3 linked regions of the Caenorhabditis elegans genome follow. The protein of the gene in region 1 interacts with the protein of each later gene in a pairwise test. Each region holds a gene or a part of one and is shown on either strand. Other genes may lie near its edges.

The links. Proteins that work in one complex are often made in the same cells at the same time.
Region 2: the proteins of tap-1 (region 1) and rpl-8 interact in a two-hybrid assay, tested with the Caenorhabditis elegans proteins (one large-scale study listed by BioGRID).
Region 3: the proteins of tap-1 (region 1) and his-74 interact in a two-hybrid assay, tested with the Caenorhabditis elegans proteins (one large-scale study listed by BioGRID).

What each region holds. Positions count from the first base shown.
Region 1 is NC_003284.9:14,587,719-14,592,697, forward strand, and holds tap-1 (TGF-beta-activated kinase 1 and MAP3K7-binding protein 1), read left to right. Parts: upstream 1-1,905; 5' UTR 1,906-1,939; coding exon 1,940-2,076; intron 2,077-2,436; coding exon 2,437-2,572; intron 2,573-2,616; coding exon 2,617-2,760; intron 2,761-2,804; coding exon 2,805-2,881; intron 2,882-2,934; coding exon 2,935-3,043; intron 3,044-3,087; coding exon 3,088-3,213; intron 3,214-3,386; coding exon 3,387-3,472; intron 3,473-3,567; coding exon 3,568-3,664; intron 3,665-3,817; coding exon 3,818-4,066; 3' UTR 4,067-4,103; downstream 4,104-4,979. Other genes in the region: bltp-3B (Chorein N-terminal domain-containing protein), read right to left, coding at 160-270, 320-437, 488-561, 787-882, 931-1,036, 1,325-1,368. UniProt on the Caenorhabditis elegans protein: Involved in the Wnt signaling pathway by regulating mom-4 kinase activity.
Region 2 is NC_003283.11:20,477,648-20,481,637, reverse strand, and holds rpl-8 (Large ribosomal subunit protein uL2), read right to left. Parts: upstream 1,950-3,990; 5' UTR 1,944-1,949; coding exon 1,664-1,943; intron 1,630-1,663; exon of another isoform or gene 1,505-1,629; intron 1,438-1,504; coding exon 1,327-1,437; intron 1,271-1,326; coding exon 879-1,270; 3' UTR 804-878; downstream 1-803. Other genes in the region: dhcr-7 (7-dehydrocholesterol reductase), read left to right, coding at 61-444, 500-741; calf-1 (CAlcium channel Localization Factor), read left to right, coding at 2,719-2,820, 2,868-2,988.
Region 3 is NC_003283.11:12,658,901-12,662,292, forward strand, and holds his-74 (Histone H3.3-like type 2), read right to left. Parts: upstream 1,431-3,392; 5' UTR 1,427-1,430; coding exon 1,145-1,426; intron 1,098-1,144; coding exon 969-1,097; 3' UTR 804-968; downstream 1-803. Other genes in the region: ccch-3 (C3H1-type domain-containing protein), read right to left, coding at 1-21, 73-200, 245-415, 462-581; W05B10.3 (Saposin B-type domain-containing protein), read right to left, coding at 2,404-2,547, 2,604-2,747. UniProt on the Caenorhabditis elegans protein: Putative variant histone H3 which may replace conventional H3 in a subset of nucleosomes. Nucleosomes wrap and compact DNA into chromatin, limiting DNA accessibility to the cellular machineries which require DNA as a template.

The DNA.
Region 1 (4,979 bases):
ATATCAGATGTTTTTTTGAAAATTTTAAAAATCCAACTATGTATTTTTCCTGAATATTTTTTTTCTAATCACATTTTTTAAGATTCATCTTTGATGAGATATTTTTAGATTTATAATTATTCAAATTGATTCTAGAAATGTTTCTTTTTAAAAATTCACCTGCTTAAACATCAATGTTCTATTTGTCTCCGAGCACGTAATTCTAGTCTGACGCAAGTCTTTCACTTGAGCCCATCCTGGACTTCTGCTCTCCACTGACAATCGTTGAAGCTGAAAAATTTCATTAATTAAAACATTTTCCGGCTGAGCAAACACAAACCATAAATGAGCCTCCGAATACGTCGGAATCAAAGTTAATTTCTACAGAACTTATATACAAAGACATGTTTTCGATGATTTTGTTCATGAAGCCGTATGAACTGCTGTCACCGAGATTTCTGCAAAAACGTGAAGGGTTTAATTTCGAAAATGGTAGAACTATGCTTACCCAAGTGGATTTGATTTTGCCTGTTTTTTATGCTCATTGGTAAGCTCCACATCCACATTGATTTCATCAATGAACTGAAATTATTTTTACGATTATAAAAGCATGAATTTGAATGAAAAAGGAGTTTATGTGAGACTATGACACTTTTCAAAATATTTATAACTTTTTTTTTACAAAATAGAAAACGTTATCAAAAATGCAACATTTGGCAGATTTAATTTGTCTGATATAATTATTCAAAATACGAGAATAAATTTGTCTACTTCAATTTCTAATTCAAAAAAAAGAAAACAACCTACAATCTGAATTGGGCAAGTTTTCAATTTGGTCCATGGTACATTCACAGCTACACCTGTACAGAATGCTCGTTTGATTTTCAACCACGAAGGAAGCTCCTGAAATTTTGAGTTTATGCAAGGAAAGCATGTACATTTAAAACTCACCAAAATCTCTGTCAAAACATCTTCGTTAATTTCAATAAACTGAAGTTTACTATTTCCTTTTAACACGTCTAAGGATATCTGCTCGGGCTTCAAGTTTTTTGTGAATCTGAAAAAAAGTGAATTTTTTGAGGGTGCAAACTTGATTAAATTCCATAGTAAAACTTTTCAAAAAAAATTTGAAATTTTATACTTATTGTCACAAGTAGCAATTACCAAGATATTTTTGGTTTTTTTAAGCGATTTGGAGCATATTTTGGCAAAATTCCCAGTGGCGTTACAAAAATTTTAACATCCATTTTATCAACTAAACAAGGAGGGTATTATTTGAGAAAAAATATGTTTGACGTTGTCATCGATTTTTAATATTTTTCAATACACTCAAAAATTAACTTACTTGGATAAATGTTTGACTAGCTGGTTTTTGATTATTGACGTCATCTTCGGTGTACAATTCTGCAAAAAAAATCGATTTTCAGGTGCGAACTACAAAAAACTACATAAATACACAGAAAATCATCAATAGAACATATTGAATCAAAAACAATGTGCTCATTATTTATGCGAAAATGCATTAATTGTCCAAATTGCGACTATCGGTTTTTGCCAATGGAGCGCGTTTGGCACACGCGGCGGTGTATGCTTGGGAGGGTGCGTGCGCGCGTCGGCATGCCAATTCTCTCAACGTGTTTGTGCTTGGCTAGCCATTGCTGCTTTTTGATAAGAATAGAAACGCGTTTTGGCGTGAGAAAAAAGACCGGATATAGATTTTGAAGATTAGAATTAGAATTTTTCCCTTTTTTTAAATTGTATTTCAATATAAAAATATAATTTGATTAGAATTTTTTGTTGTTGCTCATTGAACGTTTATATAATAAAAAAGAAAGTAGAAGTAGTCAATCAACAAATTTGTTTATCGTTTGTATTAATCGTTTTCTCTGTCATTATTTCTCTAACTCATCGTGAATTTGATTGTAGATAAGCAGGAGAGCAGTCGCAGAGCACAGGCAAAATGGGGGACGACGGGTTCCTCGATCAATACCCTGCCAACACCGATGCGGGCATTGGCACTGTGCACAGCTGCCGCTACTCAAAACAAAAAAATCCGGTGCAGAACAACGATTTTTTATCGTGCTCCATGTGCATACAGTGAGTTTATTCTACTTTTTTTGTTGCAAAATGAAACATAAACCGATCTTAATTAGGAAAAAAGTCAAATTTTACAGCAATTCAGTGGAAAATAAACTGAACGATTACGTGGGAAAATGCAATTTTTACACTTTCCTTGTCTAGTAACACAATGAACAAAAAATGAAAAGAGAAAGTTTTGGAACGATACATTGAAGGTGTTAAATACAATTTGTTTGCAAGGAAGTAAATGTCACAAGTACATCAATTAAAAAATAAAACTATATTTATCGTAATTTTTTGTTAAAACATGAAAGATCATGTAGACACAGATTAGTAGATTACATTAATAGTAAAAGTTAACAAATTTTCATTTTTCAGCAATGGACCCATCAAACTCTACGGTATTTTTTCCGGATTTAATGGTGGCGATTCAACAGCGAAGTTTGTCATGAACAGATTGGTATATGAGATTTTTGGAGAAAATCCAATTACACCAACACTACTCCCTTATCAAGTGATTTAACAATCAAATTTTCAACTCTACAACTACATTTTCAGGTGGTGGAAGAATTTAAACGGAAATTTGAAAACGTTGCCGAGCGTTATTTGTTGATGAACACCGATGATTTGAACAATCGACTGTTAAAGTTGGAGGAACAGTCGGAAACTGGAAATAATGCAGTATCGGAAATCAATCAAAAAGTTAGACTAAATTTTGAAATTATTATAATCTCCCAAATTTTCAGATTCGCCAAGGTACCACTGCCATAGTAGTCATGATCATTAACCAGGACCTATATGTGCTAAATTGCGGAAACTCTCTGTAAGATTTTTGAAACTGTTTGTTAGGAATTTTTGAAAAAAAAAAACTTTCAGCGCAATTGCTATGAACAGTGAGAACGTAGTGCAGCTCAACTCAAATCTACACAATAATGACAATCCTTTGGAGATTGTACGAATAAAAGGGCTAGGGATTAATCCGGAGGTAATTAATTTTTTTTGTAATAATTTTACAAAATAAGTTTACAGACAGTTCTGAATCCAACTAGAGCGATCGGTGACTTACAACGAACCCACCTGTTTGAAGAGACGGAAGCTTTCAAGAATGCAAAAGGACCACCGGTTATTTCTACTCCAGATGTTCAGTATACAAAGGTTTGCTATGATGAAATGTTGTTCTGGAACATTTTACGAAAAACAAGATAAAAGATCAAATTCAATGAAAATATTAGTCACAACACCTCAGATTTGATTACAAAATGAGAACATGTTTTCTTTTCTTTTTTTAAATGCTTATTTTCCAACCAACAGGTAACTTCTACTTTTAGATCGACCCATCCTGGAGACATTTGGTTCTGATCTCCGACGGTGTAGTTCAGAATCTTAAGGAAGTTGAAGTTGAAAACATCCCAACGTAAGTAGCAAACTTATGGAACTTTTTCGTCAATAACCAAGTCACACGTTTATAAAAATAAAAAATAAAATTTTCATCGATTCCCCAGTTTTCAGAGAAGTATCCGTTCGACTAATTGAAGATCACACAGTTACAAGTACAGCGCAGGCATTGGTAGACTCGTTTGCAAGAAAGCATCGCGATGCTTACACGGTTTGTTGGATTTACCCTTTTTTAGATAAGCAAATTTGAATACAATTTACAAAATTTTACCTATTTCTTCTCAATTCAATTAAATTTGTTCAAACATTGGGCGGATGTATTTTGCTATTCCACATTGCCATATTATTTTTATTTTATTTTCAGATGAGCGACGATAAAAATTTCTGTATCAGTAATCACAGAGAGGAAATGACTGTGATTTATGTGAAGCTCGAGGAAGATTACCAAGCGGCTCTTTACGAACAATTCGATTCAGCGATTTCGACAATGGAATCTACAAATGCAACATTGTATGAGCCCTGCTCGACACCATATGTCGATGCTACCAACTTCAATTCTGGAAAAAATTATGAAAAGATGAAGAAACTACTTCTAACTCGACCTTCAAAATAAATATTGTTGCTAGTAAATATAAATATTTGTTATCATGTATTATGTGTTATTTTTGCGGGGAGTATGATTATGATGCTTTCATTACAAATGTAACGTTATATGTGCCTATGTGGTGCCATGTGCCAGGATGTCCCATCACGGATTGATCTAGAAAAATAGCGGGATTTTTTCGCCCAAAAAAAATGCGACGTCAGCGCGTTCTTAACCATACGAAATCAGTGGAGAACTCTGCGTCCCCTTCTCCCGCATTTTTTGTATTATTGATCTACGTAGATCAAACCAAAATGAGTAACTCTGACACCACTTGTGTGCCCTGTTCGACACCTTACGTGGAAGCTACCAATCTCAACTCTGGGAACAATTTTGAAAAGATCAAGAAACATTTTTCAAGTCGACCGTCAAAATAATTTCTATTGTTGCTACTACATAGATCTAAACTTTTCTTTTCCTATTTCTTTGTTTTATTTTGAAAAAAAAATCTCTGACGAGAGATGCGGGGGAGGAGTTGCTTGAGCTGGTGTGAGATCAAATTTCTTGAATTTCACATCAACGCTTTTGTCCTGATTTTGAGACTAGATTTTTCCGTATTGGTCTTTTTCTGCATTTCAAAAAACAAGACGCAAATTCTGTTACATAATTTACCTTTTTCAACAATCGGTCGTTATCGTGAATTTGAAATGATCTGAAACGCTTATTTAGAGGCACACAGATTTGTAGGTTTTGTTGCAAGGAAAGCTTATGTCATCGCTTTTTGATCTTGACAAATGTCGTTTTTATCAGTTTAGTTTTTCAGAGAAAAAAGTTAGGATTTACACATATAACTGGGAGCCAAAAAAATTTTTTTTTTTAATCCCGCATACCTAAAATAGTCCCAAATGTTCGGAAAACATAATAAAAACATTGAAAAATTTGG
Region 2 (3,990 bases), on another chromosome or scaffold:
TTGCAATTTTCAAGTTTTTCTCCTTCGAAATAACAAATTCTACAAAAATTCAAATTCCAGCGTCTCTCGTCTGCTTATCAAGCGTCCAACTACTCTACATTTTCCAATTTCACTGGAACGAAGACCTCTTTCTCAACTCGTTGGACTCGAAGCGATGCGATTTCGGCTTCTATCGAATTTGGGCGGATTTCGTGCTGGGACCCATTATCTATACATCACCAGTGACGATTCTCGTGGCGACTAATCGATCCGTCGGTGTGATCTCCAACTGCTTATTCTGTGCTGTGGCGATTGGCTCGATGGTTTTCACTGCGAAATGCGATCGGCAGAAATATGAATTCCGGAAATCTAAAGGAACGCTGAAAGTTGGCGGAGTTGATGCTTTTTTTATTAGTGCAAAGTATCGAACTGACTCCGGAGATGCTAATACTAATCTTTTACTAGGTAAGCTTTTCGCTGAAAGCTTGATTTGTCTTCAAAAAAACCACTAAAATTCCAGGCAGTGGTCATTGGGGAGTATGCAGGCATCCAAATTATGCCTCCGAAGCCATCACATTCGCCGCTTTCTCTGCATTTCAAGGCTTCCCATCCACCATTGCTCACATCCCATCCTTATTCGTTATCCTGTTCCTTGTTGCACGAGCATTCACCGATGAGAATCGATGCCTGATCAAGTACGGGCAGTACTGGGCGCAGTATTGTTCGAAAGTTAAATACCGGTTTCTTCCTGGCGTGTTCTGAGCCTTTACTCCCTAATGTTTTTTTCCTAAATTTTTTTGGTTCCAAAATTATCGAGCTCTCAATTTTTTGATGAAAGAAAGACAAGCGGTTTTTTAATAACAAAAATGTATTTTGTTGAATAACAAATAACAATACATTTAGACGTTCTCCTCCTTGGTGAACTTGACTGGCTTTCCTCCGCGAATTCTTCCGGTACGGCGGGCGGCGATAAGTCCAACCTTCTTTCCGGCACTGGCGTCTCTTCTGACGGTGGATGGATGTCCAATATGTTGATGGTTACCTCCTCCGTGGGGATGTTCGACTGGATTCATGGCAACTCCTCTGACACGTGGCCAGCTGTTTCTCTTTGCCTTGTACTTGTGGTATGAGCGTCCAGCCTTGAGAAGTGGCTTGTCGGTACGTCCTCCTCCAGCGACGAGTCCAATCATGGCGCGGTTGACCGATTGAACGACCTTCTTGGCTCCGGATGGGAGGCGAATACGTGTCTTCTTGGTGTCTGGGTTGTGGGCGATGACGGTGGCGTAGTTACCTGAAAATTAATTAATTGATTAATGAAGATTATATTGGTATTTGTGCAAAACTTACCAGAGGCACGGGCGATGACTCCACGGTCTCCGGACTTGTTCTCGACGTTGCAGATGGTGGTTCCTTCTGGGAGGGTTCCGACTGGCACGATGTTTCCGATTTGGATTTGAGCTGAAAAAAATAATAATTAGAATTTAGTAACTAAAAATGAAATGTTTAGTTCTAAAATTTCGAAAGTAAAGTGTTCGTGCACACAATGACCGATTCTGACAAACTATCACACCGGGGGTAAGAGGCAAAATTTCCTATGGTCCTTCCTGAAGGGCGTAGAATCAAAATAATTCAGGCCAGATTAAAAAGGACAAGCCGGATGCTTCAAACTGAAGGAAAAACTAACCCTTAGCTCCACAATGGATGAATTGTCCAGTGTGCATTCCTTCGGCGGCGACGACGGTAGTCTTCACGGTCTTGTACTTGTATGGGTCGCGGAAAGCGATGATGGCAAGTGGAGCTCCTCTTCCTGGGTCGTGGATGATGTCCTTCACGAGTCCCTTGATGTAGCCATGTCTCTCGGCATAGTCAAGAGGACGGAGCTTGGACGCTCCTTTGCGGTGCTTGTTGTGGCTCTTGAAGATTCCACCAGCTCCTTTACGCTGGATGCGGATACGACGTCCCATGTTACCCTGAAAAAATTCAATAATTATGACTGAAATCTGCGGAAAAGAGGTAAACACTACAAAAATAGACGAAAATAAAAGTAAAACAGCGAAAGAGATGACAAACTATCGGAACTGAGAATTAAAAATTCGTATTTAGACGGAAAATAATATTTTTCAGATAAAAAGCCGAAAAAATCGAGATTTTGAGAGAGAAAGAGACGACGAATGATCAAAACAAGCATTAAAATTGAATTTCTATAATTATTTGAACATAAAAACAAAAAAAAATTACTGAAAATCTTCAAAATTGGCGAAAAAAGTTTAGGCCAGCCGAAAAAATAGAAGAAAACGAGAGCCAAGCAGCTGCGGCGGAGAGGGTGGGTCTCGCCACGACAGCCCGATAAATAGCGTGCGCCTTTAACATTTCTCGTAAATCGACACAAGGAGAAGAGGGAAATTAATATTAAATCTGAAAAATGAGAAGAATTTACGAATTTTGAAGGAAGAAAGTTGAAATTTGGAGAAAAAATTGATTTTAAAGTTATTCAGAACATTATTGAGGTTGAAAATCTGATAAAATCGTTAAAAAACCGGAGAAATACGTAGAAAAAGAGAGAAGAGCCAGAGAAAATGAAAAATCGATGAGCTGTCGCCGTCTCTTCTGGGCTCACGGCTTCTGCTCCTTTCTCTACACTAAACCACTAACATCTGGGTGCAAAAATGCACTAATTCACGCCAGCTTTTTCCCTTTTCCACTAGTTTTCTCAATTTTTAGCTAATATTTTCCACTAAAATGTCATCTCCACAACAATTCACAATTCCGGCGAGCGAGGTGATGACGTCAATTGTGCTCCCGACGATAATTTTCTGTGTTGGGCTCGTTGCAGCCATGTTGGTACGGAAAAATGGGGAATTTTATCGATTTTTCATCGAATTTTGCAGCTTGGAATTAATAAATGCAAGCAGTGGGAGCTGGACAAGGTCGTCGAGATGAGAAGATCACGTCGGGTGCTCCAGCGAGTTACGAATAGGCTTAGAGAGAAGAATTTTAAGACGATACAACGTGAGAAGCTGGAAAATTGATGTTTTGAGTGAATAATACGGATTTTTAGTGGAGAAAAGCAGTTTTTGAAGGGCTAAAAGCATTAGAAAACTCGAAAATTAATTAAAATTTGAGATTTTTGGCGAAAATTTGAGATTTTTATTGAAATTTTGAGATTGTTTGTGTAAATTTGCAGTGTTTTGGCGAAAATTCGAGATTCCTAGTGAAAATTTGACATTTCTAGTAAAAATTTGAGATTTTCAGTGAATTTTTGAGATTGTTAGTGAAAAAACTGAGTTTTTAGTGGATAAATTAAGTTTTTTAAGGGCTAAAAGCATTTGAAAACTCTTAATTTTTCTGTGAGAATTTCGAGGGAAACTGCAGGAAAAGTGGCGGAAAAGTGGCAAATCCAACTTTTTGGAATAAAAAATTAGAAAATCTTCCAAAAAATTGAAATTTGAAGCTCCAAAAAGCTGAAAATAGACGTTTCTGATGAAAATTTCCAATTTTGGAACTGAAAAACATTGATTTTTACCTCGAAATCCGATTTTTAACGTTAAAATCCAATTTTTACGATTTTTAGATAAAATTTGAACTTTTAAGGCCCGAAAGAAACAAAATGCTTCGAAATTTTCAATTTTTGAGGCTTGAGGAGCTGAAAATTGTCGTTTTCGATGATGAGAAATTCCGTAATTCTAAACAAAAATTCGATTTTTGAAAATCGAAAAGCATGAAAGTCCTGGAAATAATATTTTGTTTCAATTTTTGAAGCTCGAACGTCGTGAAAAGCTGAAAAATTAACGTTTCATGGGGAAAATCCAGTTTTTTTTCGTGGAAAACGAATTTTTAGAGCTGAGAGCTGAAAAATTAACACTTTGATTAAAAAAATTTCGAGATTCGGGCTTAATTTTTGAATTTTTAGCTGAAAACTGATGTTTCAGTGTGTTTTTGGCCAAAAATTTAGGTCTAAAAGACGATAGAATTGCGAAAATGCATTTTTGAAATGAAAAATCTTGATTCTTT
Region 3 (3,392 bases), on another chromosome or scaffold:
CATTTTCCTTTGAGATAATTTCTGAGAATAAAATAATTAATTTAAAAAAAAAAAATAAAAAATATTACTTACTTGCAAGTGAATTTTGACTTTTTCCTTTCTTTTTCACTTGGCTTATCGGACAGATCCACGTGACGACTCAACATTCGGGCATTCATTCGTTCTTCCCTGGCATAATCGTTGTCGAATATTGAACTTGTCTGAAATTACTCAAATAAAATTTAGTTTCGCAGAAAAAAATTACAAATTCTTTGTCCAATTCTGTAACTGATTCTCCAGATCGTCGTTTCTTTTTAGGTCCTACTGATTCGCCTTCAGAATCATCCGAATCACTTGATCCTGCTTTATCATCGTCACCACTGAAGAAAAATGAAGAGATTGTTGGCTTTTCATCAGATTCCGCTATTTTTTCGCTCTGAAAATGAGAATTGATCGCGGAATTTTTAATAGATAGAACTAACCTCTTCTTCTTTTTCTTTCTCCGCGTTTTTCGTCGTTTCTTCTTTTTCTGTTGTCGGTTTTCCAAAGAAATCATCGTCTTCTCCTTCGCTGTCAGATCCGTAAGCCACGAGCGATGTCATGTCAGACTCTGAAAATGAATTTTTAAATAGAAAGAAAATTGAATTATCACCGGAAAATTAATATGACTCTTCTAACGTAAATCCACTCTTTTTTAAATTGGAATGAACCACTACTGACGCACTTATCGTGTCTGCCTGCGCCTCCACTCGTGATACACTCTTAAAAAGAATCCGTTGGCGAACTAGTAACCAATATATTGCAATACAATAAATTTTGCAACAAAAAAGGAACGCAGGGTTTATTCGATACATTAAATCGATAGAAAACAGGGATGAGAAATGTGCAGGTGTGATGAGAAGGACGTTGCGGAATTTCATCAAGAGGCATAATATTAATACAAAGCGGTAAAGATAAAATAATTATTCGGGCAGTAATAAAACAGGGATCTAGCTGCGCTCTCCACGGATGCGTCTGGCGAGTTGCATATCCTTTGGCATGATAGTGACTCTTTTGGCGTGGATGGCGCACAGGTTGGTGTCTTCGAAGAGTCCAACGAGGTAAGCTTCGGAAGCTTCCTGGAAAATTATTTTTTAAACTACGTTTTGGATTTCAAAATCGTTACCTGAAGAGCTCCGATAGCAGCTGACTGGAAACGGAGATCGGTTTTGAAGTCTTGCGCGATTTCACGGACAAGACGCTGGAATGGTAGCTTGCGAAGCAGAAGCTCTGTAGACTTTTGATAGCGTCTGATCTCACGAAGAGCGACTGTTCCCGGACGAAAACGATGCACTTTTTTGACACTTCCGGTGACAATGGCCGACTTGCGAGCCGCCTTCGTCGCCAGAGCTTTTCTGGGAGCTTTTCCTCCAGTCGATTTGCGAGCGGTTTGCTTGGTACGAGCCATAGTTCTGGAAATATTTAACATTAAAAGAAAGAAACAACATTGATAAATTGTCAGATGTGAAATTATGAAGAAAAATTATGATAAATTCAACGGAAGAGGATCCTTTTCAAGTGTTAACGCACAAAATTGACAGCATTGGAAGATCACAATTTTTAAAATAAAATTAATTTGAAAAAAACTTTAAAAATTACTAAATTTCAATAGAAAAACAATCCCCAAAACAAAAATAATAACAAAATGCGCGATTAAGATTGAAGAGGGTTACGGTAGCAGTGGTGTTCTGTGTGTGTCGCTCGTGTCGGGACCCGGCCATTCTTTTCGTGGTATATCAAATGCGGTTTTCTTTCAAAATGCTTTACAAACAATTGAAAAAATACCTTATGTGAAAATATTACTTTTAAAAATAACTAAAATTGCCTTAAATATTTAATACTTTTTTAAAATTATCTTCCTTGTCAGGTCAAAAATAAATGCATTTTTGAATTTTGCTCTTATTTTTTGATCTTCTGATTTTGATCACTTGCTCAAAATATGGCAAAATCTTTTAATTCGAAGTTTGGGGGGAAATATCTAAAATATCATTCTCTGTTCGCAGACAACACTCATTTCATAGTTTCGTTTTATTCGGCTCGATTTTTTTCAAAGAAGAGAGATTTATAGCTTGGATCGAATTCATTTTTATTAATTTGGCTGTAACAATCGTTAGTTTTTACAATAAAGTTGCAAATTAAAACACCATTTCAATAGTTAATAGAAGGATATGGCACCAGAAGGCCGTGGAAGCTCTGAGAAGGTTTTTAAAATATTGGTTACTGTACTTCTCTAAGTGGACCGATTTTTTTCATTCGTGGCGAGACCGGACATCGTATTCTCTCGCAACTGGGTAATATTCCCTGATTTCGAGACGGTGCTTGACATGGAACGAATATGTGTAAAATCAATCATCATAAAATTTATATTAATTTTCAAAATTTTTCTCAGCATAACATTTTGCATGCCTGCTTGTGAAACTCAACAATATGTGGATAAAGAGTCGAGTATTGATCCCAAAGATTCATTGAGTCAACGAGGTCTCGACACGGCCAAATTAAAGCTTTCGGGAGACGATTGCAACCTCCTCGCTGAAAATTTGTAGAGGTTATTTACACAGAATGCAGTTTCAAAGAGTTCTTCTTACCAAATACTTAGACATATTTAACCAACTGGTTGGGACAATAAACCAATGATCATCGCAAATCACACAAGGTTTTATATTCTCGAATTGAGCAGTAGTTTTTGAGACAGTAAAGATACAAATAACAAAAAACAGGTTGAGCTTCATAGTGAAGCAGAGAAATAAGAGAAAATAGAATTTGGAATGTATAATATAGGAAATGTAGGTTCTCAACAGTTTCATGAGAATAATACATTTTTCTCATAGTATTAACAAATTCTTCAATTTCTTTTGTCGAGGTATCAATAGAAAAACTATATTGCTTGGAAAGTGTAGCAAAATTAAAATATAAACTAACTTATCAATTTCTGTGTAAAATTATAAAATTTGATTTATACGATTCGTTTGTGCAATGACAAAAGGAAATATACTAAATGACCAACACATCTGGAGGTTAAGTCATTATGGAAAACACATTGAAGTACTAAAGGTGAGAAAAAAAAGCCGGATATTACGAGCTCACAACATTTCGAGCCAGGATACTGTAGCTAATTGTTATGACGTGAGTTGGTCAAAACATCTAACTAGGTGAAAAAAGTTTCATTGCAAATCTTACCATTCTTTGGGCAGTTCAGATTGTTTGGCATTATGAGCTTCGCGTATAAGATTTTTTTTTGAGAAACTTTCGTGGCGAGATCAACTCGGAGAAAAATAATGTGTCTTCAACTAGAATACGATACGCACATCACAATTCGAGAAGTTTTGAACGTTTTTACATTATACCAAATTGTGAATTGTATAATTTATTTTAAT